Sus scrofa: one gene and its partners. The protein of the gene in region 3 interacts with the protein of the main gene of each other region in a biochemical or structural test. Links are inferred from orthologs where the notes say so. Each region holds a gene or a part of one and is shown on either strand. Other genes may lie near its edges. The genes, in order: SMURF2, ZFYVE9, SMAD3, TGFBR1, TFE3, MECOM and NEDD4.

Region 1 (3,500 bases), on a different chromosome or scaffold from region 3:
TGCTAATGAGGTTAGGATGGTACTGCTGCCAGAAGAGTGCTTGTGATCTCCCCCGTGGACCGGGCAGTCCACTGAGACTTTCTCTGAAAACTCGTTGCAACCCTCTGGGGACTGTTTGTAGGCCCTGCAGGCCAGGACTTTTCTCCTTCTCTCTTCTTCAGTACATGTTATCCCCTCTGCTTTACATTGTCAGGAACAATCTTGAGATTTTAATGGTGTGTATTCTGCTGTTTTCCTTTGCTTTCATTGCCATACTTTTTAACTTTGGTAAAGGAATGTTTGTAAGTATGTGTATGTATGCGTGTGTATCGTAAATTGTCCTTAGAATGTTTCAATACAGAAGCTGTAATGTTTATGCTATGTGCATCATCAAGTTTTTTTTTTTCAAGGAGTGAGAATTCACTTTATATAAATGCGGCAGAAACACCATAGCTTCTGAATTGAAACATTTCAAGGACTATCATGATAAATTCCACTTCCCCTGTTCTAAATCCAACCTAAATTAATTTGGGTTTCCACCAAGCCCCATAATTCTTATTTAATTAGCATTACTTGTTTTCACCATAGACTTACTTTCCTTCTGTGACCATTTTACCTACAAATGGATAGTTTGGATTTTTAGAACTGATCATTTGTACATCATACTTGAGGCTTGATAGTTTCTGTGGAATGCTTATGATTTGCTTTTAACTAGATTTTGAATGCTTGTTGGGAAAACTTTTTAATTTTCTGCTGATGGAAACTAAATGCTGTAATTACACGTGTAGGTCAAATAAGTAGTTTAGTTGTTTGTTTATTTCTTAACCTCACTGCTCTCAGGGTTTGGGCAGACAAATGGGATGTGGCAATGAACTCTGCTTTTTCTGATCTTTGGTAGTAGAACACAAAAGTAATTGAGCTTTGCTTTTATGCATGTTTTAAAGACTTAGCAAAACAAAACAAAAATTTGGATTTTATTTTAAAAAACGCATACATAAAAAGCGTAAGACACATCAGGTGAGAAGAAAAGGACTTCACTTTTTTCTTTTTAATTTCTAGAGTTTTTAAGTATTAAATGGTAGTGAATTGATTTCAGCTCAACCAAATGATAGAACTTTGAAATGGTTTCCTTTAACATCTTGTTAATGGTGTTTCACTGCATTTCCTAGGAAAAGTTACTCTGTTTAATCCATAATATCAGAATATATTACTTAAGTACCTTTCCTAGCTGAGGAATGACGGGAATTGAGACTAGAACAATACCTCCTTAAGTATTGGACTAGTAATTTTATTTCAGTTTCACCAAGATGAATAACAAATTATCTGATTCTTTGAAAAGTCTAAGTGATTTAATAAGCTTAAGGTGATAGTACTGTTTACTGTCAGGTTGTAAAAACACTGGTATATACTTGGAACCCAGAAGTGGTAAGCAGCATACCCAGAAAACACAGGCTTGCCCTTGTGTTCCCACCTTTCAGTTTCTCACCACTTACACTTTTATCATGGTATGCTTCAGGGTTTACACAGATACTGGAAATGGATAGTGGAATTTTCTTACTAAAACAATACCAACAGTAAAATGTAACCTTGTCCAAAAGTGAGAATAAATTATTATGTTGTATCTCTAAGTCTGCCATGATAGGAACAGACCAGAATGATACAGATCACATGATTGTTTTGAAATAAAACCGTATTCTTCCCTTCAGCTTACATTTATCATGGATTACAAATCTGACTTGCAATTAAAAGTAGCAGATCACTGGACTGCAGCATCTAATGAACAGTTGGTACTTCTGGATATTATCCTTGTATTCTGTGATGTTAAAATGTCATAAGGAGTTCCTGTTGTGGCTCAGCAGGTTAAGAACCGACTAGGATGCATGAGGATGAGGGTTCAATCCTGGCCTTGCTCAGTGGGTTAAGGATTCAGGGTTGCTGCAATTTCAGGCATAGGTTGCAAATGTGGCTTGAATCTGGCGTTGGCTGTGGCTGTGGTGTAGGCTGGCAGCTGCAGCTCCAATTCAACCCCTCGCCTGGGAACCTCCATATGCCTTGGGTGCAACCCTAAAAAGACCAAAAAAAAAAAAAAAAAAGTCATAAAATTACCCCAAATTGAGTGAGAAGTGACTGCAGTATGACAAAAGAAGAGTTTTCATTTGCTTTTTGGACATGGTAGACTTTTCTAATGTGACCTTGTATAACTAGTTAGTGCTTTATTTTCTTGTATTAAAAAATTCTGTTAACATGATTAATTAATAGCATATCTTAGTAAAAGTACATTCATTAACAAAACAAATTCCTTTGACATATCTTGTTTTTTAGGGAGTGGTTATATCTCTTGTCACATGAAATGTTGAATCCTTACTACGGCCTCTTCCAGTATTCAAGAGATGATATCTATACATTGCAGATCAATCCTGATTCTGCAGTTAATCCGGTATGATTGTGGTTATGATGATATGGATTACCTTGTGAACTACAGTGTTTTTCATCTTTAAGTGTCAGTGAAGTTTATGAAATAGGTTTACTGTCCTGTCCAAGTCACGTCCTTGGACTAGGCAAGTCCACTGTAAGAAATTTTCTCAAGTAAAAATTTTCTGATGTGCAGTAGTTTGGGCACAGGGGTGTTTACTACATCACTGTTTATAGTAGCCCTTAATTGGAGGTAATATTGTTGTCCATAAATGGAGATTGATTAAATTACAGCATGAAGCAGAATATGATAGTAATAGTTAAGAGCATCAAATCTGGAATTAGAAAGACATGAGATCATATCCTGGCCCCATTGCTAACTCGCTTTGTGACCGTAGGCAGATTCACCTGATTGAAGTCTCAGTTTTATTATTGCTAATAATTACATGGTTCGTACCTAGGAGAAGGTTGCGACAGTTAAATGAGACCCTGCACATTAAGTATTTCGCACATCAGCAACCCTATTACATATTATAAAGCATTCAACAAGAGTTAGCAGCTGTTATTAATTTGTTGTTTTCATATTATTTTTATTACCTTCTCATACAAGTACATGTTATACAGCCACTGAAGTGATGTTGTGGGATAATAGTTAATGACATATAAAGATGGTATTTGTAATATATTAAGTGAAAAGAAGATTATAAAATAGTATGATGCAGTTTTGGTAAACACGTATATGTGTAAACATTGAAAGGTTCTACACTACATATTGATGGAGCTTATCTCTGAGTGTTGGTCTCTGGGTTTTTTTAAATTTTTTATTTTATATTGGAGTATAGTTGGTTTACAATGTTGTATTTTATTTTATTATTTATTTATTTTTTTTGTCTTTTTGCCTTTTTCTTGGGCCACTTCCTATGGCATATGGTGATTCCCAGGCTGGGGGTGGAATTGGAGCTGTAGCCACCGGCCTACTCCAGAGCCACAGCAATGCTGGATCCAAGCCGTGTCTGCGACCCACACCACAGCTCATGACAACGCTGCATCCTTAACCCACTGAGCAAGGGCAGGGATCGAACCCGCAACCTCATAGTTCCCAGTCGGAT
Region 2 (3,500 bases), on a different chromosome or scaffold from region 3:
GTCAGTGTTTTTTATTTTCTATATGATGGTGGTTGGAGTTCCCAGCTACCAGATACTTCATTATTATTCTCAATCCCTCCATCTCCAAGTCTTTGTTCACTAAACTCTTTCCATTGCTATTTTAGTGACTGGTGCCAGTTTCTTTGTGTTCAGTGGCGCTCTGAAGTCCTCGTCGGGATATCTTGCCAAGTCCAGCATTGTGGAAGGTAACGAATGAGTTACTGCATGTACCTTATACAGTCGTAATTATACAAGGGTCATGAATGGAAGCCTTGACACTTTGGCGTTAGACTTCTGACTCGTTTATTCAGTAGCATCTCACTCAACAGGTAGTTAAAACTACCACAAGGGTGCCTTCTCTCCAGAGAAGGAAATAAGTGGGAGAAATACCATGGGACACCAACATAAAAATTAAGAGATGGCTTTTCAGAGAAAGACAAAATACCATGTGATGTCACTTCTATCTGGAGTCTAATATGTGGCACAAATGAACCTTTCCATAAAAAAGAAAATCATGGACTTGGAGAATAGACTTGTGGCTGCCAAGGGGGAGGGAGAGGGAGTTGGGTGGATGGGGAGCTTGGGGTTAATATATGCAGACTATTGCCTTTGGAATGGATTAGCAATGAGATCCTGCTGTGTAGCACTGGGAACTATGTCTGGTCACTTATGGAGCATGATAATGTGAGAAAAAAGAATGTGTACATGCATGTGTGACTGGGTCACCTTGCTGAACAGTAGAAAATTAACAGAACACTGTAAACCAGCTATAATGGAAAAAAAATAAAAATCATTCTATAAAAACAACAAAAAAAAAAAGAAAGAAAAGAAAAAGAGAGAGAGAAAGAGATAGCTTTTCAGAGCTAAGGTACCCAAGGGGACGTAGTCTGAGTTCAAATATATCATTGGGTGCGAATCTGTAAATATGCAGATGAATTTCAGCCCCTGTTATCCATGAGAATGCTGCAGTCACCATTTGGTGTACAGAATGATGCATTTGCTGCTGGTTTGCTATAATTAGATAGGACACATATCCTGACAAAAGTTAGTTTAATGAAAATCAGTGAAAGGCTAATGGGCATACTATTTATTGTCTTTGTCAATTATTCTTCACTGTATTTTGGTCTGGTTACTCTTGGTGCATAACAAATTAAACCAAAATTTAATGGCTTAAAACAGCTATTTTACTGTGCTCACTGATTCTTCTGCATCTGCCCTTGACAGGGCAATATAGGGATGGCTTGACCCTGCTCAGTGATGTCTGGGGACTCAGTTGGAATGCCTGAAGGGTGGTTGTTACCTGATGGCTGAGAGCTAGAATTATCTTAAAGTTTGTTGACTTATGTATCTGGAGCCTGTCCTGGGATGATTTAAAGACCAAAAGTAGTCCCTGGAGTCCTTGCACACTGGACTCCTTAGCATGCAGCTTTGGGATGGTTGGACTTCTTACACGGTGGCTCGGGACTCCAAGCACAAGTGTCCAGCACAAGGTAGAAGCCTCGTTGCTTTTTATGACCCAAACTCAAAAGTCCTACAGTGTCACTTCCACCATACTCTAGTGTTGGAAGTGGTCAAAAGCCTGCTCAAGGGCTGAGGACTTACTCTTTCTCGATGGGGAAATGGGAAAGTAGCATTGTAGGAAAGCACGTGAGACAGGAGGTATTGTGGTCGTCTCCGGAAAATACAATCCGTACCCGCAGTGACAGGTTTTCATTTCCACGTGAGCTCACTCCAGCACCTGAAGAGCAGTTCTTCTGAGGGTGGATTTCATTGTGTTCATTGAAATACATAGATAATCTTGTGTATGTTAATAGAGATTGATTTTGATCTCCTTTTTTGGTAAACTTAATAAAGCTGAAAGCGAAGAACAAAGCATGCTAATATTTCACAACTAAATGTCACAACTGCAGAGCAGAACATGCTATTAAGAAATTGTTAGGAAATCTAGGTGTTAAGTAGTTGTTTGGTCTTAGCGACTAATTAATGCCTGTGTGATCAAGTATTGACTGCATTTGAAATCTATCCTGACAAGATGATTAAAAAGCACCCTTTAAATGTTGTCAAAGTGATGATTCAAATGGACACAGATCCTTACAAATGCAGAGTAATTATATTTTAAAATTATGTCTTCGGGTTAGGAATTTCTTAGCTCTTATGTTTCACTAAATGTGCCAGTAGAGCACTTGGTTGCCCATTTATGAAAATTTTAGTCATGCTCTTCAGAAATTATTTCACCTGACAAAATTTTGTATTAACAAAGCAGGTTAATTGCTCAGCATGTGACAACTTTCACCCTCAGTTTTCAGTGTTTGCCTTTGACTTGGGTATGTAGCAGCCCCTAACAGTTATAATCTGTTGGCTATATGATAGCCCAGGTAAAACGTATGTGTAGGTTGGTCTTACTGTTAGTCAGTACATGAATTTATTCTCCTTCCCAGTGATTTATTTAACAAACACTGGGCATTCACTGTATGCAATCATAGGACAGTGGGAGAGACAGAAATGCAAAGAAATAGATATGATTAGAGCATGATAAATGTCACCGTGGAAGCAGGAACAGAATGCTCTCTCTGAGTCCAGAAGAGGGATGTGACTGTGCGTAAGTTTTCCCTTTGAACAGTCTCACGAGAAGCTCTCAGTTGTGCCTGAAGTGAAATCCATAGGTAGGAGTTTTAAGCAGACTCCATCTTGGCCTTTGCGCTTTGTAACACGTTCAGCCAGTAAGAGGTTCAGCTCAAAGAGCAAAACGTCTTTGCATCTGTCAGCTTTAGAGGGCAGAGCAGAGTTTTACATTAACCCTAGAGGGATTTGCTCGATGCCAGGAAGGGGTTTTGTCTCCCCTCCCTGGCTGTGCCTTGCTCCCACCTGTGTTATCTCGGTGCTGCTTCTCAGACGGCGTCATGGTCCAGATCACTGCGGAGAACATGGATGCCTTGCGGCAGGCTCTGCGGGAGATGAAGGACTTCACCATCACCTGCGGCAAGGCGGATGCTGAGGACCCCCAGGAGCACATCCTCATCCAGTGGGTGGATGACGACAAGGACGTCAACAAGGGGTAAAGCGCTGAGCTTCCCCGCTGCGGCACTTCCTTCTGGGCCAGGCTCTGGGTTTTGGCCATCCTGATGTTTTATAACTTTACTGAAAGCCCTGCCTACAAGAAAGGACGGCTTTGTACAATTTGCACATGGAATTTGTATTTCTGGTTTCTTGGCTTAATTTCTTTTCTTCTTTTCTTTTCTTTTTTTTTTTTTTTTTTCCAGGGCTGCACTTGAAACATATGGAAGTTCCCAGGCTAGGGGTCGAACTGGAGCTACAGCTTTGGCCTATGCCACAGCCACGGCAACACCAAATCCTTAACCCACTGAACAAAGCTAGGGATTGAAGCTGCATCCTCATGGATACCCATTGGGCTCCTAACCTGTTGAGCCACAACGGGAATTCCTCTTGACTTAATTTCTAAAGCAGTTTTGGTACATGTTTTTGAAGGGAGGATGAAGGAA
Region 3 (3,500 bases):
AGTGAGCTAAGGATCTGGTGTTGCCGTGAGCTGTGGTGTAGGTCAGATGCGGCTCACATCTGGCATGGCTGTGGTGACAGGCCAGTGGCTACAGCTCTGATTTGACTCCTAGCCTGGGAACTTCCATATGCCATGGGTGCGCCCCCTCCCAAAAAAATGATCAGGAGGCAGAGGCACAGGTGGAAAGACCCAGACCCAAAGGACAAAAACATTTGTTCTCGTTTTGATAATTTCTGACATATTTTAAATAGAGAAAAGTGTAAAGTGAGTGAGTAAACACCTGTGTATGCCATCTAGGATCTTTTAAAAAGTAAAACAAATGGGGAGGCTGTCTGGGAAGGATGAAGGCTCAGCAGCAGGGACTCTTTGCCACTGACTGTGTCACACTTGCTGTGTGGCCTCTGCCCTTCCCTGCCTGTCCGTCAGGGTCTTCCCTGGAACATGAGCACCCTGGCCCAGGCCTGTGGCTTCCAAACTTGTCTTAACTGTAAAATCCTCTCTCCGAATGAATCATCTCTGAAGGCCCAAGATATAATACAAACAAGAGCAGGGCTGCTCTGGGTCATGTGGCCCACTGCCCTACCTGGCTCCCGAGTTTGCCCTGGAGCCCCTTTGGCCACCCTGGGCACATGGAGCAATGTTTCAGAATACCAACCATCTCCATACCATCCCCATGGCTCTTGTAGGTGACTCTGGATCACAACATTGGGAATACTCTTAGCATGATTTTATGAGCAAATAAAGCAACACAGCAAGGCTTCAATCTTCCCTAAACTAAGTGGGCTTTACCGCACGCTGGGTGCTGGAAGACAGAGTGGCAGCAGCAGTGGTACCCAGCAGTGGGCAATACTTGCCTCTCTACCTCTTCTAAGTTCCTAGGATAATCCTGTGTGAAATGAACAAACCAAAGATCATCTTTCCAGGACTATCTACTTACCCACTTATCAGTACTTTAAGGGTATTTCTTTTTTTTTTTTTTTTTGGTCTTTTTAAGGCTGCACCCTCTGCATCCCAGGCTAGGGGGCTCGAATCAGAGCTGTAACCACTGGCCTATGCCACAGTCACAGCCACGCCAGATCCGAGCTGCGTCTGCAACCTACACCATAGCTCACGGCAACTCCAGATCCTTAATCCACTGAGTGAGGCCAGGGATTGAACCTGAGTCCTCAAGGATCCTAGTCGGGTTTGTTAACCACTGAACCACAACGGGTACTCCCCCTTAAGGGTATTTTTATTAAGGAGAATTACACAGTTGCCTTTTTCCAGAAAGTCCAGCATCTTCCCTTGTGGCTTTCAAAGTTTCAAAGATGATATCTGTCTCTGGGTGAGAATGATCAAGCAACCTGAACTCTACCTGTCTGGCCCCTGAATAAGGTGACAGAGAGCTTTTGGGGGAGGGGTGGAGGTGGGGGAGGCCCAGCACAGTGGTGGCGGATTCTGGAGGGGTCTGTGCTGGGCTGGGGATCTGGGGTGTCGTGGGGGAAACTCGACCGCCCCTCACCGATGTGCCTCCGTGTCAGCTCCACAGCCGCATTCCTGTTGACATTGGAGAGCAGCCCCAGGCAGAAGCGCTCCGAGTTGGAGGGGTCGGTGAAGCCGTCCACGGTCATGGACGGTTGCGAGGCGTGGAATGTCTCCCCGACGCGCTGGTTGAGCTCGTAGTAGGAGATGGAGCACCAGAAGGCCGGCTCGCAGTAGGTGACGGGCTGCAGGTCTGAGGAGACAGGCCAGCCCCTGGGTCAGTGGCGCCCCAGGCCCCGTGCCCCTGGACGGGGTCTGCCGGCTGCTCTGGAAGACTGTTCCCCACCTCTCAGAGGGCATTATAATCTCCCCACCCTCGTACCTTTTACTGGATAAAACCTGCAGGAGCAGCCAGCGGGACAAAATACTCAGGTGGCAGGAGAAGCACTTTTCATTTAGCTTTAGCTTCCAAAGGCCCTGCCCCGCCTGGCCTGGCCTCAGGTTGAAGCCGTCTTCAGGGAGGTGCTAGGCCAAGCCCCTGGACAGACACACTGGACAGGCTGGGTGTGCCTATCGCGGGCAGGCCACGCCACCTGCCTCTCTTCCTAGGTCCCCGAGGTAACCCATGCTGATCTCCGCCCCTCCAAAGCTAACTCCTGTCGAGCAGCAGCATCCAAGCCTGTGAAACGATAAGGCTGCTGCAGCCCTGGGGTCTGCGCTGCGCTTGGTGTCCAAGACCACACAGGCGCCAGGCACCATCTGCAGAGTAAACCCGGTTCCTGCCTCTTGTTATAGAAACTATCCTCCAAGTGTATCCAGATGTTGAGCAACCAGGAGGCTAACACACAAACTCACCTAAAAGAAACTCTGAACTTCTAGAGGTCATCCTGTGGTCTCAGTCAAGGGCACCTCAGAGTAACTGCCGTCCTGGGAGGGGGCAGTTCTGTTTCTCAGAAGAGGTGGGAACTCCTGAAGTAGAGGTTTCCCCTCACACGAAGCCACACCTCCCTTTCCAGGGACGCCCTAGCCTTCCTGTCACCTCCAGTTGTTCTGGGCTCCACACCTGCCCAGGTACCCCTGCCTGTCTCTGTGTCACTTCTCACCTCAGGGTCCCTCCTCGTCATTCTTCACTTGCACTAGTGCCACGGCCCTCTGACAGGGCTCCCCAGCACCCAGCCCAGCCCTTCCAGCTTCTTCTCTGCCCTGTCCTGCTCCCGGGGCCACGTCCTTCCCCTGTGCCTCCTCGAATCCCCCTATTTGTTGGTGAATCAGAGTCTGCTGCTCTCATTCTGGTCTTAGCCCTCTGGCCTGCACCACGTACTCTGGCTCTTACATATACATAGAGAGTTGCGTATATGGTTACTCAGGCGTGTCTCTGGAAGCTGGTGAGAGGATGGGAGAGCTCGCCATGCCAAGTCAGCACTGGCCCGAGACCCGTGTCACCGCCGGCCAGGCAACTTCCTAGAGCGAGAACCCATGAGAACTTAAGCTCAGCTCACCAGACCTCACAAAGTGTATAAAAGCCCAGGAAAGAATAAAGCAGAAGCTATTCCAGGAGGGGCCTGGGTTCCCCTGCAGGGCAAAATGGCCCTGATCTCCTTCTGGGGTCTACGCCCATGATCCCATCTAAGAGCAAAGAGAAGGCTGGCTCACAGGGGAAGGGCTGCGGACCGGTGACACCCCTGCACTCAACATGCTGTGAAGAGTTGGCTGGAGGGTGAGGGCACTTGGATCAGGTCTCGGCCTTGGCAAATTTGGGGCACGATAATTCTTTCCTTGGGTGGGGGGATCCTGCGTGCTCTGGGATGTGCAACAGCAGCATCCTAAGCCTCTGCCTACTTGATGCCAGCAACATACATCCATCTCACCCTCCCAGCTGTGACTGTAAGAAACTTCTCCAGACACTGAGAGACGTCTTCTGGGGGCAAAATAGGCCGCAGTTGAAAATCACTGTCCTGGGTGTTTGACCAGCTCAGGGAGCACAAGCTTCAAGGCTGGACAGACTTGTGTTCACATTCGGCTTTGGCACGGACCTGCTG
Region 4 (4,251 bases), about 76 Mb from region 3:
GTGAGATCTCTGGGTACTAAGTGATGGCCCTAATCATAAGCCTCAAGTACTGCTCTAAGCACTGAGTACAAATGGGAAATCCTGTAAACCCTTTGAGAGGATGGCTAAGGAAGATTAGCTTGGCAGCAGCCTATAAGCGAGAGAAATACTGAAAAGCAAATGGATTTGGGGGTAGGGAAAAGAGGCAGGACTAAACTGACAGCTGAATCCAATGAGGGGAAGAAACATTCAAGAAGCATTAATGTAAAGAAGAGCTGAGTTTCAGGTATATTTTCAAAGAAAACATTATGAAAGAGCACACTCACATGGGTACATAAGCAGACATACTGGTAACTAAACTGTGCACCAATGACAAGGAACCAATTTCCCTAGAGAAATTTATGTTGGAGAGAGAAGCTGGGCAAAGAAATACAAAACTGATAACCTGGACAATGAGGGAACAACTACAAACTCTTAGAAAGGAGTTTAAAATTACAAATTTTAAAAAACATCTGAGAAGTTCCCACTTTGGCACAGTGGGTTAAGGATCCAGCATTGCTGCAGCTACAGTTCAGATTTGATCCACTGCCTGGGAACTTCGATATGCCATGGATATGATTGCAAAAGGAAAAAAAATTAAAAATAAATGAATAAAAAGACCTGAGCTTCTTCAGAATGTATGAAAGGATAAATGGAAACATCAGCGTAACCTACCAGGGCAGGCAGACCAGTTGAGATAGTCTAGACTTAAGGATGATAGCACCTGGATCAGCTTTGTCTTGTCTGCATGCCAGTGTAGTCTATTAACTCCTCCAGGGCACAGACTAAGCCATGCTCTGTACATTAATGAAGTCCAATATTGTTACTTGAATATAGGAACACTCTGTGTGCTAAGCTAGGTGGAAAAGAGTGAACTGTGTTATTCGAGTTAATTTTATGCTTGATGCATATCTATATTGATTCTCCCACCTGTCTTGACCCCCTTCTCAGGCCAATGTCAAAAATTCACTGTTTCCTCTAATGAAGGCCAGGTGTGAAAGGACTCCAAAAATGTACTAGGAGCCAGAAAAAAGCCAGCCTGTTTTTCTAATTATGAGGGCAAAATCTAAAAGTGAATAATAAAAATCAATTATTCATTAGAGGACTAAAAAAGAAAAATGGGCTTCGCCAGACAGTTAAGTGTGTATCTTAAAACGTATAGGTTTTGCAAACACTGAACCCTTGGTACAAATCCTAACTCCAGCTCTTAGTAATTGATACTTAACCCTCTCCACACCTCAGTTTTCTCATCTATAAAATGGGGCAAATGCCACTGGGCCCTGAGGGATGTGAGGATTAGATAGTACACTTTTGGTGTACCTTATGCACCTATACCACAGTAAGTCTTCTTTAGACAGCTGCTTATAGTAATATCTGGCACCCTAAGTACTGAGTTTTTTTGTTTCAAAAGCATTTGCTGTTCAGTTACAGAAAGAGAAACTTATTTTAGTTGCTTATACTAAGGCTCTATATTTCAGTTTCTAGTATTATAGTTGGGATGCTAACAAAGTTTTTCACTCCTCCCTCCACGGGGTAGATGATGACCATATACCCTTTCCCAATTTATATTTTGGAAAATGCAGCAAACATTCTCCCTTGAAAACCAGCTATACAGACAACTGATGAAAACTACCGTCACTCAAGAAATGCAACATCTCTAGAGATGTCCTTCGAGGAAATAAAACGTGTGATCAACTCAGTCATTTCCATTCAAACATTCCAAACCCCGCAGAGTGAGCAAACGTTCAAGTTTCTACTACGAAACAATTTGTAGCCTTCTGGTTAGTGGATTCACTTCAACACTTCCCCAGACGCACGAAAAGAAGAAACATTCCGCACATCTCAGTGCCTCCTTGTCCTCAAACAAAGCTTCGCAGCACCTCCCATTCCAAAGCCACCCCTGGATGAGGAAGCAGCCCCTCTCGGCTGGGTCAGACCGGCGCCGAAGGCCAGGGAGGCCTGCTGACCCGAGGGTCTCTGCTGACTCGGGGGTCACACGTCGCGCCCTCCCACTGCTGGAGGAGGCCCTGGAGACTTGGAGCTCACACTCCGCCCTGGAAGCCCCCTCCGCCCCCAACCCCGCCCGGGCCCCCGGAGCCTGAAGCACCTAACAGCTCTGGGTGCGGTGCCCGGGACAACGCCACACAGCGACTAGCGGGGACTCGGGGCAGCCCCAGCTCTCCAAGTCCAGGAGAGCCTCGCACCCTGGGGCCCTCGGCCTGCGCCCACTCGCTTCCCAGAGGGCAGCCCCCAACCCTGGACGGCTCCGCCCGACGCTACCTCCCTCAGAGTCTGCAGCTCGGGCGGCCGCGGGCTGCCGGGCACGTCCGCCCGCGCTAGAACCCACGCCCTCGCCCCGCCTCGGCCTCCCGCCCGCGGCTCGCGTGGCGGCAGCCAGGCACTTAAAGTCCGGCCTCCGCCCGGGCGCCGCCACCTGCGCCCCCGGCCCCGCGCCATGTTTGAGAAAGAGAAGGAGCGAGCCAGAGGCCGGGCCCGGCCGGCGCGCCCCGCAGCCACCGCCAGCTCCGCCGCGCCGCCGCTCACCCGTCGCCTCCGGGACCAGCGTGGCCGTCGCCGCCAGCACGAAGAGGAGCAGCCGGGAACGCGAGCACCGGCCGCCACCTCCATGGTCCCGCCGCCACTGCCTGTGGCCCGGCCCGGCCCGGCCGCCGCCTCGCCTCAACAAGCTTCGCCTCGCCCCACCTCCCCCGCCGCCGAGGCGGCCTCGCTCCGGCCCTTTGTAACTGCTTGGGGGCCGCGCGACCATTGGCTGTCGGGCTCCCGCCGGCCCCGCCTCCCCGCCGTCTGCAAGCGGCCAAGCGGGACCTACCCAGGAGCACCGCCCACAGGCCCGCTGGGCAGCCAATCCAGAGCCGCAGGCTTCCGCTCACTGGTCACGCCCCCAAACTCCCGGGGGGCCGGGCAGCCAGACCCCTGCCCCAGCAGGAGCAGCTCCGAGTTCCGTGGAGGCCGGGTGGGGGCAGGGTCTAGCCCAGACGCTGCCGAGGCTCCCGCCTTCAAGGGCTAAGGGCTAAGAGCTAAGGGCTGAGCGATGGGTGTGTCTGGGTATGAGTTGCTTTCGGAAAAAGGCTGTGGCTGCTCGACGCTTTTTTCTCCTAGCCTCTTTTCTTCTCACCTAAGATGTGGTACTAAGCCCGACCCCAGTTCACAGCCCTGCACCATCAATTCCCCACATTCATCCAGATCCTTAGTACCATCAGGCAGGCTTCAACTTCCCCTCCCCATATCCACGTCTCAACTTTCAAAATCCCCGCCCCACGATGCTGCTTCAGTGCCTTTCGTATATTACCCAGTCTACTGTTTCCTCCCGCTGTCACATCCACCCAAAACCTAGATACCCACCCCAAAATTCTAGGCCCAGAAAGTCTCCAAATCCTGGCCTCAGACCTCAGATCCTGAGCTCAGACACACCCCCAAACTGCCTCCCGCCCCTCTCCGGAACTCAGAGCCGACCCAGACTGGGCTCCAAACCACACTCCTTTCCCCTTCCCCCTTCCTGATTCTGCGGGGCAAGGGAAGAGCCTCATCCCTATGCCCAAAGGAGAGGGATTCCTGTTCTTAGCACGCAGCACCCCCGGGGCGGAGGAGGAGCAGTCATTAGTTTGAGCTGCCTCTGACACGCCTGCACAATAATTCTGAGGTGTCACTAGAAACCCAAATAAACTCGGCTACGTTTTCATTCTGAATTCCTAATTTACTGTGAGACGCTCCACCCACCTTCCCTCTGGGACGCCAAAATGAGCTCCAGATTTGTAATTCTTCCCGTCAGACTAGTCCTCTCTTCAGACACAAACACAACCGAGAAGGCTGTTACACAGAACAGAGAACATTTTTCCACAGAACCTTTTAAGGAGAAAATTTTATTTTCTGTGTGATTTGAACTTGGAATTAAATAAACCTTGGTAGCAGGACTCAGAACCAGCCTCTAGTATTGATTTGTAATTACTCTAGCGATACTCCGTGAGTATTTTACAAGCCTGTGAAGACTTCCCTCCTGAGCAGTAAAGAGGCAGGGTAGGGGTGTTGAAGCTGAGATCTGAGACTGGCACTATTCCCATTCTGGCTTGAGCAACTCAGTTAACTCAGTTAACCTTTCTGAGCCTCCACTTCTTCATCTATACAAAATGGAAATAGTATCAATCTTCCAAAGTTAGTGAGAGGATATATTAAGATTTAGGACTCCCTCTTTTCCCCCTTCAAATTCTACTTCTA
Region 5 (4,123 bases), on a different chromosome or scaffold from region 3:
TTTTGAGCTCGTAGAAGCTGTCAGGATCGAGGATGTTTTCTAATTCGATGTCAGCAACAATCCCGGATTCCGGAAGCAAAGAATTCAGGCTGAGGGTGGGGGGAAGGCAGGGGTGTTGGTCAGTGATTGTATGGAGATGTCATTGCCCCGAGAGACAGAGACAGGAGAGGAGAGAAGAGACGAGAGAAGAGACAGGATGAGACCAGGAGGGAGAACAGAGCGTATCCCTCACATTTGGCCACTCTGCTGAAACCACCACCATGAATCCCCATGTCGTCTCCCCTCCCCACTCTCTTTTGCTCTGTGTTACCCACAGGTCCTTAAGATTCAAAATAATAAGAGCGCCTGGGTCCCAGCGCCCCGCTCTAACAATCCCGTGTACAACCTGGGTTTCAGGAGAAGAGAAATGAAGAATTTAGGAGTGACGATTCACTTTGCGGGACTCCTGACTTTGCATTCAGAGTTCTCCCAGCCCCCACACTCCCCACTGCTTTCGTGGCTGCGGAATGCGAGCCCACGGGGGTCCACAGATGCAGTAGGAGAGCACCCCTTGGCAGAACAGTCCATTGTGACACAAAGTGAACTGGGGAGGCTGATTCACTTTACAGAGGATCCACTACTTTGCAAATAAGTCTCTCCCCCCACCAACCCCGCCCCAGTCGGAGTTCGAGGGATGCCAACATCCAACCAAAAAAAAAAAAAAAGAAAGAAATGGAAATAATAAAGACTCCCCTAGGCTCAACGATCTGGATTTACAAGAGGGAGAACTGGAGTGGAGGATCACTTTGTAGGAACATTCTTCTCTAGGTCAGAGGAGCCTGCCCAGCGCTCTCCTGGTTTTTTGGATAAATCGCAACACAAACACACCTTCCATACCAACACCCACAAGCACCCAAAATAATAAGCCAGGTACACCCCTCCCTTTCAACTATTCCCACCACTATCATGATCCAGGTCGTTATAAAAGCAGTAGGAGATGATGGTAAATTGTTATGATGGAAAGGCTCCTGGCTCAACCCTCCATGCCAGCTGCAAGACCCTAAAGTGTGAGGGCCACTAACATGGGGGCACATGGACATGCATCCCTGAATTTTGTCAGAAGATCTTGAATCCTCAGACTGTGGTTGACTTCACTTGACAAGAATTCTTGCCCCTCCCCAAGGATCTGTCTTCCTTTCTTTCTTCACCCACAGATGGGGCCCTAAAACCACCCAGGAAGTCGGGAAGAGGAAGCTCGGGGAGCTGCTGAGCTAGGCACAATCCCAGCCAGAAAGTAGGCAAAGCCCCCCTCCCATGCTCTCATCCTGGAAGCGGTGGGCACTAGACTGAGAGGGCTGGGGCTTACAGGCCTGTTGATAGAAGTGAGGCTGAGAGGTCAGAGAAGAACTACCCAGCCAGGGATGGTGCAATTGGTGCTCATTCCAGCTCTGGGGTCAGATTCAAGATTGTCTCCAGGGCCTGAGAGACAGACAAGGAGGGCGAGATAAAAAAAAAAAAAAGTACCTGTGTCTGAGTGTGTGTGTGTGTGTGTGTAGGGGGTGAAAAGGGCTGGCTGAGAGGCTAGGGCAGGTGGCCTCAGGAACAAGATCCTCCTCTGGGTTCCCCAATAAGGTCTGATGAGGCCTTCAATGAGTTAAGTGTTAGCACCACCTCCATTGCCTGTCTGTCTGACTGACTCCCATTCAAGCCCCTGTTGAGGGTGTGAGAAGAGGACTTTCCCACTATCCCTTGGATCTGACCCAGCTGGACGGGTGGGCAAGTGGAGGGATTATTCTGATCAAGTCTTGATGAATGTTGCTTTTCTTGTGCACTCGCACACACTCCCAAGGCTGGTCCCACGCAGCATATCTGAGATAGCCCCAAATCCCTTCAGAGTCAAGTTTCCCCAAACACAGCCTCCAGCAACCAGCCACTGGGAGTCACCAAGCTCCTGAGACAGCACCTCTGACTCCTAGGACCCTCTCTCTGAGGGGAAAAGAAGCCTTAAAATCAGTACCTCACTTACAGAGTGGCCCCTTAAATTCATTCTCCTCATACCTGACTCAAGAATCCCAAATTCAACCTCTAATCAGAGTCTCAGTCCCTGAAGTTCAGCGACGTTAGACCAGTTTGTGGACACAACAGAATCAGTCCCTCTAGACCCAGTCAAGGGCCCCCCAAATCTGAACAAGGCCTCTCTTAATGTACTTCCACGACTCCTTTAAGCCTCAGTCCAAGCAGGCCACCGCCAGATTCCTTAGGTGCCCCCCCCAAGTCGGGCGCCCCGACGTCCTCCAAGCCTAGGCCAAGGGCCTCCGATCACAGTCCTGGGCCCCCGCTGCCCCCAGATCAGGCCCCCGGGAACCCCAGTCAGCACTACCGGTCCCAGGCGGCCCCGCACCTGAGCAGCTGGGCCGAGTCGGCCGGCCTGCGCTCCTCCAACAGCACGAACACGGCTCGAGGGCCCTCCGCGCTGGCCTCTACGCCGTCCCGAGCTGGCTCGGCCGCATGAGACATGACGCCCGGCCCCGGGCGAGCCCTGCCAGGCCGGTCGGGCCTCGGCCCGGTCCCCCCAACAAAATAAGAGTCCCCCTCCCCCGCTCGCCACCGCCTCCTCCGCTAAGCCATGGAGCGAGCTCTGCGCCGGCGGGCGGCGTCGGGGAGATGGGATGGGCCGTGAGTCATCCCCCGCCCTAAACGGACCGACACCCCCCCCAACCTAACCCCGGACGACCGCCTTCCTCCCCCTCGTCCTCTTCCCCCTCCTCCCTGGGCTGGGGAAACTCCACAGGAAGTGACCGCATGATGGATAGACAGCTCGCCGGGCCACGCCCTCTGGGTGAGACGACCAATCGTCGAGGGATGTTTCAAGGGCCCGCCCTAAGCTACGCCTCCGAAGCCAAAAGAAGACTAGATTCGGCAGGCCCTTTTTCCGAGAAGGGGGCACCTAGGCCACGCCCTCAGAGAGAGGCAAATCAATGAGAGGTAATTTGATTGAGTCACGCCTCTTCTTCTCAAATTATCCCTCCGCAAGATAGTAAGCCGCTCCTTAGGGCCTCTGCGCCTGCGTACTGAAGCCCGGTCGGCGCGCGGAGGCTCTCCAGGCTACGCTTCTAGCTGCGGAATCGCGCCCTCTCTCGGCCAGCATTCGTAATATCCACTCTCCAGACCGCGCTCCAACCTTGATCTAGCGGTGCCTGCTAAGCCAAAGCCTAAGCCTTGAGGCCTAGGCAGCTACGTTCCCTTGAATTGCGCACCAGAAACCCTGCCCTCTCGGTACCTACAGTCCAGCGATCCAGCTGGTCTTCCAGGAAGCGCTCCGTCTGCTCTTTGTTGTTCAGAGCGGTTGTTGTACTAGGTCGTTGTGCTACACTGTAGGTGCTTAGTAAAATCCTTGACGGATGGCTGAATGAGTGGAAAGATGGACATTAGATCCGCTCCCTTCGGTGGATGACTTCTGTTGTTATACAGAACTGGGTTTGGATATGGACAAGGGACTTACCCTCTCGGAGCCTCAGCTTTCTTGGCCGTCAAATGGGGGTCTTAATACCTGTCTGGCGACATTTTTATAGGGAGTAGAAGTAATTTATGAATAGTGCTAGCAGATTTTTTGGTATACAATAACCTCTCCAAAAATTCATTGATTCAGGAGTTCCCATCGTGGCGCAGCGGAAACGAATCCAACTAGGAACCACGAGGTTTCGGGTTTGATCCCTGGCCTCGCTCAGTGGGTTAAGGATCCGGTGTTGCGGTGAGCGTGGTGTGGGTCGCTGACGCCCCCCGGATCTGGCGTTGCTGTGGTTGTGGCGGAGGCCGGCAGCTGTAGCTCCAATTAGACCCCTAGCCTGGGAACCTCCATATGCCTCGGGTGCGGCCCTAAAAAGACAAAAATAAAAAAATTGATTCACTCATTTGTGCACTGGTACAGCAAACATTGATTGAGCTCCTCTGTGTGCTAAATGTATGCAAGTTGGCTTGCACACAGCGGAGGGTCCCACTCACACCTTCAGGTGCACAGTCAACTCACAAAACACCAGGACCAACAACCTTCCCTAAATTCTTCCCAGCATCCCAAGACCATGCCCATCAGTTGCACCACTGGGAACTTCACTGAACTTCCATTTGCCTTGTACCTTTCTGTATT
Region 6 (4,061 bases), on a different chromosome or scaffold from region 3:
TCCCCCTCCCCCTTTTTCCCTCTTTAGTCCAGAGGTGATGATAGAGTTCTCTGGTGCCCATGTGTACCGGCACCAGAACCCTCTCTTTTAAAGTTGTTTTTACTCCTGCTCTGTGTAATTCCTTCCTTTGCTTTCCTCTGCCACCCCACTTCCCTTCCTCACAATTCAGCATTACACATCTGTCTCCCTTGGGACCTGTAGTTTGGTTCTCCAGGGACCTGTATCTTAGAGCCAAATGCCCCTGGAATTACACAGAGAAAGAGAAGTGGTGGGCATCCTTGCCAAGGTGAATCTTTTGAACTTTAATTTCCTGTAATAAAGATATTTGTGAGCCACTACTCTTTGGAATTGAACCTTGCTATTTGCTCACTCACATCCCCAGTCCTAGTTTTGACAATAAATGACAACAGGTTACAACTGGGGATTCTCAGTTATCTTCCTTATTCTTCTCTGCCTTTGCCAAATTCATGCCCAGGACCTGCTATTCTTTTCTCTCCTTTAACTTGAACATCAAGGATGTACTGTTGCAGCACAGAGACAAAAAGATTGTAATTTTCTTTTATGGTGTTTGGCAGGATTTGCAACAGATATTAATGGGGACATAAATAGCTCACAGAGGGTATTGAACAAAACTGTTTAATGCAAGGAGGTTGTACCAAGAGAAAATCCATAGTAGTTGGGATTGATTCATACCTTGAACACAGCTAGTTCCTTTTAAGAGGTCCCCATTTCTGCATGCCCACTTCATTGGTAAATCCTGTAATTAAAGCAAATTTCAACAATGTATTTTTTAAGAGGTAGGGGGAAATCCCTCCCACACCTCCTTCCTATAACCCGGGAGGTCGTGGGTTTAAGCGAGTGAGTGAAATGGCAGGCAGGCTGAACTGCTGCAGGAGGCTACTCCGCAGCGGTATGGGAGGCCGGAAGGTGACAGCCGACCTCAGAGAAGACAGGAGGTCTTGGTTGTCAAACGCCCAAGCCGTCTCGGACCTGGGAGCCAAAGGTCATTATCACTACTTGGTAGGAAAAGACCAACTGATATGTCCCAAGGATGGCAGAAAGAATTGGCATTATACCTAAAATCAAGAAAGAAACAGTTATTTATTCAGCTTTCAACTCTGAAAGCAGAAGCCGAAATAGCTTCAGCAGCAGTAGCAGCGGCAGCAGATTCCCGATGTTCAGGATGATTCTCACTTTCTCCTGGATCGTTCGCCCGAGGAGTCCGGTCCTTCTAGTTCTTTAGTGTGGGAAAGATTTTTAAAAGCCCTCTCCCCTCCCCCCACTTCTTGCTTTCCCCCAAGGACAGAATAGAAAATTTCCTTCAATTTATGGTGGGAAAAAATAATAGTAATGGTACAGGCTTATGGGTGATTCCAATACGAAATCAATCCTCTGCCCGAGTCTTCGCGTTCCTTTTTGGGGGAGGGGGGGGCTAGATGTCTGCTCCCTTCTGACTCCCTGAGCTCGCTCCCCGCCCCCCGTCGCCCTCCCCGTGGCTCCCTTTCTCCGCCTCCTCAGCGATTGCCATCTGACAAGATCTCCAAATCAAAGTGATAAATCGCTCCAAACTTTTTTTGGCGGCGCTGAGATGTTGGAGGGGCGTCTAGCGCGCATGTGCGAAGGTGTCCAAACTGACAATGCTGGAGAGATAGCGAGTGTGGATTGAGAGAAAGGGAGAGAGGGAGGGAGAGAGAGTGAAAGAGGGGAAGACAGAGAGTGAGTGTGTAAGTGTGTGTGTGTGTGTGTGTGCGTGTGTGTGTGTGTGAGAGAGAGAGAGAGAGAGAGAGAGAGAGAGAGAGACGAGAGGGAGGGAGCGAGAGAGCAAAAGAAGGAAAAGATCCAAGAAAAAAAAACCCCAACCACACACCAGCGGCTGCAGGACTGGGCACAGCATGAGATCCAAAGGCAGGGCAAGGAAACTGGCCACAAGTAGGTGCAATATCCCTTTTCTATTGGCTTTCCCCCTCTCTGCCATCTTGCATATCTGTCTCCAGCGCTCCGGGAGGGAGCGCGGGGCTTCCTCTCGTGTCGGGGCCCCGGGTGGAGGGCAGGCGCAGCGCAGACCCTGCAACCTGCCGGTCCCAGCCTCCACGCCCGGCCGCCCGCGCTCTGGCTCCTTGTTTGGGCGCCAGAGGAGCCGGGGCAGCCCTCAAGCCCGCAGCACTGACCAGCTGTGGCAACCCCGGGGTGGGGGTGGGGGTGGGGGCAGCAAAGACCTTGTGGGAGGGAGGAGAGAGCGCAAGAGCGAGCGGGAAGGGGTGGGGTGGGGGTGGGGGAGAGGAGATGCAAGAGTCTCCCCCTCCCCTCCTCTTCCCCCCAGGCGGAGGAGAGTTGCCTCTGGCCAACCAGCTAGTCCCGGGTGTGGGAGGGGGAGCAGCGGGGTGGGGGGGGGGCGGCGCGGGCTGGGGACTGGAGCCTTTTCGCGCCTCGGTTTGTGTTCGGGGTCTGGGGTGGGTGGCAGGCTCGGAGGGAGCCACAGTGGCGGCGGCGGCGGCGGCGGCGGGCAGCAGTGGTGGAGTTGGGAAAAGTTGCGAGGCGGCCGCTGGAAGTTGCGCGGGCTGGCGGGCTGCGCCGAGCGGCGGTTGCGGTAGTGGGCGCTGTGCGCTCGGCCGTGCTCTCTGGCGTGCGCGGCGCGGCGGGAGGGCTGGGGTGGGGAGTGGGGGAGACGAGGGTGGAGGCTGTAGTCGCTGTGTGTGTGTGTGTGTGTGTGTGTGTGTGTGTGTGTGTGTGTTTTGGGGGGGGGCGCGGGCAGAGCAGAGCTACCGGCTCTGCAAAGCCGCGGGCAGGTGGGGAGAGAAGAGGCCCTGGGAGCGCCTGCTGAACGGGGAGTAGAGGGCGCGTAGCCAGAGGCGACGGCGGCCGAGGAGAAGGGGGCCGAAACGGCGCGCTTCGGCCCTATAGTTTCAGGCTGGCTGGGCGCCGAGTGACCCGCAGGGGGCGGGCTGCGGGCTCCCTGGGCAGCCGAGAGGGTACGGCGAAGCCTGCTGACCTGCTTCTGGTTGCAGCCAGGGTCTCGAGTCACTAACCCTCCCCGGCGCCCCCTGCCTGCCGGCGTGGAGCGGCCTAGGTCACGCGGGACGAGGGCGATTGAGTTCGGGGCGGGGGTGGCGGGACTCCCATCCCCCACTTTGCTCGCTTCAATGTTGGGTAACTTCGCACTGCGATGTCCGCGGGGCCGGTACTGACGGGGAAGGCAAGAGTCTCAGCCTGGACTGTAGGCGACGGGACTGGGTTTGTCCAAATGCATCTACCTCGAATCTAAGGGTACTCAGAGGTGCCGAGACCCGGGGCAATCCTGAGCAGTCGGAAGCTCTCCTCCGCAAGGTGTCAGCATGCGGGCCTGGAGCAGCCTCAGAAAGGGACCGGCTGCCGTTTGTTCTCCTCGCAGAAAACAGAACTCTCTAATTGTTTTGCTTTTGGACCAGAGAAAGGAGAGATGGGGTGGGTGGGATGCTTCTTCCCAGTGAACTCCCCAGTCTTCCGCACTCCTACATATTAAAACCAAGTATGCCTCACTCCTTCCAGCCTCTGGTGTCTCCGCCGCAGCCGCGCGGGAGGACAGCGGCACCTTGGCGGGCTTGGTTTCTTTGGCGGTGAGACTCCGAGGTCTAGCCCTGTGAGATGCTGTCATCGTAAGGCGTCTTTCCAGTGCTTCGCCCAGTCCTCACCCAAGCACTCCCTCACTCCCAAGTACTTTTCCTTTCACTCTGGCCTCAAGGATCAACCTGTATATAGTGCTCTTGGGTCATCAGTCCATTTATTTCTCTTTTGGATATTGTTCATTTCGCTTAGCTGAGACAGTGCCAAAGTGCGCCAGTGGTACTCCTGTTTTTCCTGTTTGCTTTTAAATGAGGCCGATGTCTTTATTTTCATTTGAGGAAGAATACATGTACATACGCTTGGAAGTCTGGGGGCTTCAATTCCAACTGACGATTAGGCGCGCGCGCGCGTGCGTGTGTGTGTGTGTGTGTGTGTTTGGGGGGTGGGGCGGGGGTCGGAGAGACAATTTCAAACTCTGCCTAAGTTGTGAAATGAAAGCCGAACGCTTTGCGCGCCTCATT
Region 7 (4,277 bases), about 49 Mb from region 3:
TATATGGTGATGAGCATAGATAAACTTAAAGGAGAATGAATTTCTAGTCATCTGGAAAATGCTTTCAATATAAGTGATATTTGCTTCAAGAAAGAGTAGGCTTATATTCCTTTTTTGTCAACCAGTTTTAAGAACCTGGGGGTTATAACTGTCATAGTTTGGTGATGGTGGTGTTGGTGTTGATGGCCATGGGACATTGAAGAATAATATGCCTTTAAATGAATTCTATCCACTAATGCGAAAGTTAGGGCTTCTTTGCCACAACCCAAGAGCTGCATCTGCACACATCCAGCCTCTGAAGCTTTAGGAGATGCTTATATTCCATTTTCCAGGTGGCGATGTTCTGCTTCTCAGGCTGAGTGGTTGTATTAGTCAAGGTTTTCCAAAGAAACAGAACCAATAGGACACACACCCACACACCTGAGAAAGGGGGAGGGAGCGAGGTAATGAGGCGAGTGTTGATTTATTTTAAGGAATTGGTTTACGTGATAATGGAAGATGGAAAGTCTGAAGAGGCCCTGCTGGCAGGTTGGATATTCAGGCAAGGGTTAATGCATCTGAAATCTGCAGGGCAGCAGGCTGGAAACTCAGGCAAGGCTTCTGTGATACAGCCTTTAGGCAGAATTGCTGCCTTGGGAAGCCTGTCTTTGCGCATAAGGCCTTTAACTGATTGGATGAAGTCCATCACATTATGGAGGGCATTCTGCTTTATTCAGAATTTACTGATTTAAAAGTTAATCATACCTTAACAATAGCTTCACAGCAACATCTAGTTAGGTGTTTGGACTAATAACTGGGCAAAATAGCTAAGCCAAGTCAACATATCCAGTCTAATCTGAAGACATTATCCGTTTCACTCCAGAATATGAAATTCTATAGGATTTGCACAGATTCCTCCCAGATGAAGCCTGCTACCACTCTCCAGCTCTCCTCTCCTTGAGGTTAGGGTTGATGCTCCACTTTTGGCATCTGTTTGCCCCAGGGGCTACATTTTACCCCGTGTTTCCCAGGTTCTGTTATAAAAGTGGCACAGATCCTGTGCAGTCCCAGACCAGAGCCAGTAATGCAAACCATTCAGCCTCACTAGCATTTAAACTCAGACTAGAGTGCTAGGAAGTGCATTTGATTCTCTTACCTTTGTTTCCCTTTGGCTAAAGCCCTCTTTGCAAAATTTTCGAGCATCCTTCTTTTTGTCCAGCTGCAGTATTTTTGATACCTCTTTAGAAGTATTAGCTTGGGGAGTTCCCATTTTGGCTCAGTGGGTTAAGAACCTGACATAGTGTCCGTTAGGATGTGGGTTTCGATCCCTGGCCTCGCTCAGTGGGTTAAGGGTCCAGCATTGCCGCAAGCTGCAGCATAGGTCACAGATGTGGCTTGGATTTGGTATTGCCGTGTCTGTGGCATAGGCCCGCAGTTGCAGCTTGGATTTGACCCCTAACCCAGGAATTTCCATATGCTAGTTGCAGCTGTTAATTAAAAAAAAAAAAAAAAAAAAAAAAAGGAAATAGAAGCTGGATTGGCTACATCCACCATATATCCAACCTCCTCTCTGGTGTTACCTACTGTTTACTTTGTACCCAGCATGAGTTCAGGTGGATCAGAGGAAATAAGAAATGTTTAGTTGTTGTCCTCACCCTCTGGAAGCTTAAAATCTAGTTAGGTGAAACTGATACTTAACAGTGAAGCTTACCAAAGAGAAAACATTTATCATTATTTATTCATTATTTTATAGTAACAACTAAAGGGGATTTCCTTAATAACTGGAAGTTTTAAGCCACAGGCACTAGCAGTTAGATCTCATTGATTAGCTTATTAGAAGTGATTCATCTTTTGAGTCCTCAAATCCCTAACTTAATTCAAGAAGGAAAGCTGGAATTATTTGAAGGCATAGTGAAAAGATTAGGACTCTCCCTTCTGGTAAAAAAAAGAAAGATTTTAAGAGAATATGTACTGAAGCCTGTAATATCATAAAGGAAATAGGTTATGCAAAACCAAAATAGCATAATAATTTTATTATTAAATTTATAATTATACACATTCTAAAACAGTACTATCTCATTCTAGTCAGAAATAGAATTTAGTAAATTCCATATTTCTATTTTGTCCTGCCTTAATTGATTAAAAACAGTGTTTAGAAAATTGTGATTGAGAACAGATCTATCTTGAGTTTTCTTTTTTAAACAAAGTGTGAGTATATGTTTTACATATTTGCTTTCACTTAGGGAAAAAAAACTTACTTAGAAAAATACAACTTGGGTGTAGTACCATGTGGTGTAAACAACTGAACTATTTTGCTTTTTACTTTCCTATGAATGAGCCAGTATATATTTATTACTGGAGTTCCAGCTGTAAAATTCAGGTAAGGGGTTTAAATATACCCTAGAGCATTATTTAAAAATAAATTTGTTTCTTTCAAACAGAATACCAACCTTGGTCTATGACATTTAGGGGAGAAATTAAAATATTAAACTTTTATTACCTAGTAAACTGAAAATAAAGTAAAGGTTAAATAAATACGAAGCAGAAAAAAATACATATACAAAATTGCAACCTCTGAAAGGACAGACAGTCTACTGTTCTCTCCTGTGGGAGCTTTATCAGCAGTAGTAAGTAATTCTGCCTCTAGGGCAGTGCTAGTGCTCAAAAATGTAAACAAGTATGTACTTTGTTTATATAAAGAAATATGCGACATGGTTTGTACTTCTTTATAGGTATCAAACAACTAAATGAATTGTTTCAGTGCACCAGTAGGGGCCAGCAAAGAGCTCCTAGAGTTTTTCGCAACAGAATTGGCATTGAGATATGTTTATTTGATGTGTTAAATCCTTTTTAGACTTCTTTACTTACCACAACACTCTCTTAAGTGAATGAATTGCAGAGACAGTGGAATAAAATATCTTGTGTGCTCAAACTATATTGGGGTATAGTTTTTCTGTCTAATCTGCATATATTTTTAATGGAATGTTTTCTTAGCCTATTTCTTGGCAGAGTTTTAATAGTCCAAATATAAATGGCATCATTTAAAGACTGTACTGCTTGGCTGAAAAGGCCTTAAAATTACAGGAGAAAATGCTTGGTGACAGCTTCTCTCAAAATTTTTTTTTTCTCAGATGTATGCTCAATTTTTGCAATAGATTACTAGGCTAATTTTGTATTTCGATCCTTAAGCTTTCACTTTTTATAAGTACATCGTGTTTTAGAAGCTAAAATATGTATCTATTTGATTTAATGCTAAATTTTTAATTCACCTCAGTTTTGATATTTCCCAGTTTATACAACTGTTTGAACTTACTCATTTAAAAAAAATTAACAGTCTATATTCCTTTCTACATTTACTAAGTTGACTAGATTCCAGTATGACCACTATTTGGAAATTCAATCCTTGATTTGATACTCAATTACATGGGGTTTCATTCCTACCAACTTCCTGTAATTCTATCCCTATGGGTAAAAATATTAGTGGTCAAACTGCTGGAGAAAGTATAGGCACCGTGATTCACATAGTTAAATGTTCATTTAGTAGAGCTGGAGTGAAAAATACTGTTTCAACTTGAAATGCTAGAAGATTGTTGTTCTTGTGTTACTCATTCATGCAAATTGGAGAAGGTATAATTGAAACAAGGTTGGCAGTGTTTGAGGCAGTGTGCTGCAGCTGAGCTCAGCTTAAAGGTCGCTGGAAATCAAGTGCTTTGTAAGTGAAGGCATTTTGACTACAAGCGATTCAAGACATTTTGGAAACGTCAGTCGTCAGTCTCGGGAATGGGCCGTCTTTTTCTTTCTACGATATCTGGTCTCTAAGGTTTTACTCAGGATAAAGACCACTACTTACGAGCTCTTTTAGGCACCACAAATGATTTTTTCTTTCGATGCAGTGCAGCTGCTTCTAGCCTGTCTACCGACAGAGATCTTTGTTATGACTTTCAGCCCTTAACATGTTTGGAAATGAGAACAAATGGCACAAAGCTTACGATTGCACTTTGCAGCCAGAAGAAGCAATACTTACCCTTTGTCAGAAACCTCTGGAGATGATTTGGATAGCAGTATTCACATGTGCTTCACAAGACCAACACGGATTTCAACCTCTAACGTGGTTCAAATGAAGCTGACTCCCAGACAAACTGCACTAGCTCCGTTAATAAAGGAAAACGTTAAGTCTCAGGAAAGATCATCTGTTCCTTCACCTGAAAATGTTAATAAAAAGAGCAGCTGTCTGCAGATTTCACTCCAGCCAACAAGGTACAGTGGATGTCTTCAGTCTAGCCATGTCTTAGCTGGCA

The links.
Region 1: the proteins of SMAD3 (region 3) and SMURF2 form a complex in vitro, tested with the Homo sapiens proteins (2 studies listed by BioGRID and IntAct, with this or other methods). The link is inferred for Sus scrofa from reciprocal best matches to the Homo sapiens genes SMAD3 and SMURF2.
Region 2: the proteins of SMAD3 (region 3) and ZFYVE9 form a complex in vitro, tested with the Homo sapiens proteins (2 studies listed by BioGRID and IntAct, with this or other methods). The link is inferred for Sus scrofa from reciprocal best matches to the Homo sapiens genes SMAD3 and ZFYVE9.
Region 4: the proteins of SMAD3 (region 3) and TGFBR1 form a complex in vitro, tested with the Homo sapiens proteins (2 studies listed by BioGRID, with this or other methods). The link is inferred for Sus scrofa from reciprocal best matches to the Homo sapiens genes SMAD3 and TGFBR1.
Region 5: the proteins of SMAD3 (region 3) and TFE3 form a complex in vitro, tested with the Homo sapiens proteins (2 studies listed by BioGRID). The link is inferred for Sus scrofa from reciprocal best matches to the Homo sapiens genes SMAD3 and TFE3.
Region 6: the proteins of SMAD3 (region 3) and MECOM form a complex in vitro, tested with the Homo sapiens proteins (2 studies listed by BioGRID). The link is inferred for Sus scrofa from reciprocal best matches to the Homo sapiens genes SMAD3 and MECOM.
Region 7: the proteins of SMAD3 (region 3) and NEDD4 interact in a test that uses a peptide from one of them, tested with the Homo sapiens proteins (3 studies listed by BioGRID and IntAct, with this or other methods). The link is inferred for Sus scrofa from reciprocal best matches to the Homo sapiens genes SMAD3 and NEDD4.

The regions. Positions count from the first base shown.
Region 1 is NC_010454.4:14,473,183-14,476,682, forward strand, and holds part of SMURF2 (E3 ubiquitin-protein ligase SMURF2), read left to right. Parts: intron 1-2,301; coding exon 2,302-2,416; intron 2,417-3,500. UniProt on the Homo sapiens protein: E3 ubiquitin-protein ligase which accepts ubiquitin from an E2 ubiquitin-conjugating enzyme in the form of a thioester and then directly transfers the ubiquitin to targeted substrates.
Region 2 is NC_010448.4:159,882,476-159,885,975, reverse strand, and holds part of ZFYVE9 (zinc finger FYVE domain-containing protein 9), read left to right. Parts: intron 1-125; coding exon 126-206; intron 207-2,892; coding exon 2,893-3,055; intron 3,056-3,500. UniProt on the Homo sapiens protein: Early endosomal protein that functions to recruit SMAD2/SMAD3 to intracellular membranes and to the TGF-beta receptor.
Region 3 is NC_010443.5:165,109,957-165,113,456, reverse strand, and holds part of SMAD3 (mothers against decapentaplegic homolog 3), read right to left. Parts: intron 1,715-3,500; coding exon 1,502-1,714; intron 1-1,501. UniProt on the Homo sapiens protein: Receptor-regulated SMAD (R-SMAD) that is an intracellular signal transducer and transcriptional modulator activated by TGF-beta (transforming growth factor) and activin type 1 receptor kinases.
Region 4 is NC_010443.5:240,858,635-240,862,885, reverse strand, and holds the start of TGFBR1 (TGF-beta receptor type-1), read right to left. Parts: upstream 2,801-4,251; 5' UTR 2,786-2,800; coding exon 2,563-2,785; intron 1-2,562. UniProt on the Homo sapiens protein: Transmembrane serine/threonine kinase forming with the TGF-beta type II serine/threonine kinase receptor, TGFBR2, the non-promiscuous receptor for the TGF-beta cytokines TGFB1, TGFB2 and TGFB3.
Region 5 is NC_010461.5:43,113,578-43,117,700, forward strand, and holds the start of TFE3 (transcription factor E3), read right to left. Parts: upstream 2,801-4,123; 5' UTR 2,497-2,800; coding exon 2,381-2,496; intron 90-2,380; coding exon 1-89. UniProt on the Homo sapiens protein: Transcription factor that acts as a master regulator of lysosomal biogenesis and immune response.
Region 6 is NC_010455.5:108,333,335-108,337,395, reverse strand, and holds the start of MECOM (MDS1 and EVI1 complex locus protein EVI1), read left to right. Parts: upstream 1-1,261; 5' UTR 1,262-1,892; coding exon 1,893-1,929; exon of another isoform or gene 1,930-1,932; intron 1,933-4,061.
Region 7 is NC_010443.5:115,988,730-115,993,006, forward strand, and holds the start of NEDD4 (E3 ubiquitin-protein ligase NEDD4), read left to right. Parts: upstream 1-1,477; 5' UTR 1,478-3,952; coding exon 3,953-4,277. UniProt on the Homo sapiens protein: E3 ubiquitin-protein ligase which accepts ubiquitin from an E2 ubiquitin-conjugating enzyme in the form of a thioester and then directly transfers the ubiquitin to targeted substrates. Specifically ubiquitinates 'Lys-63' in target proteins.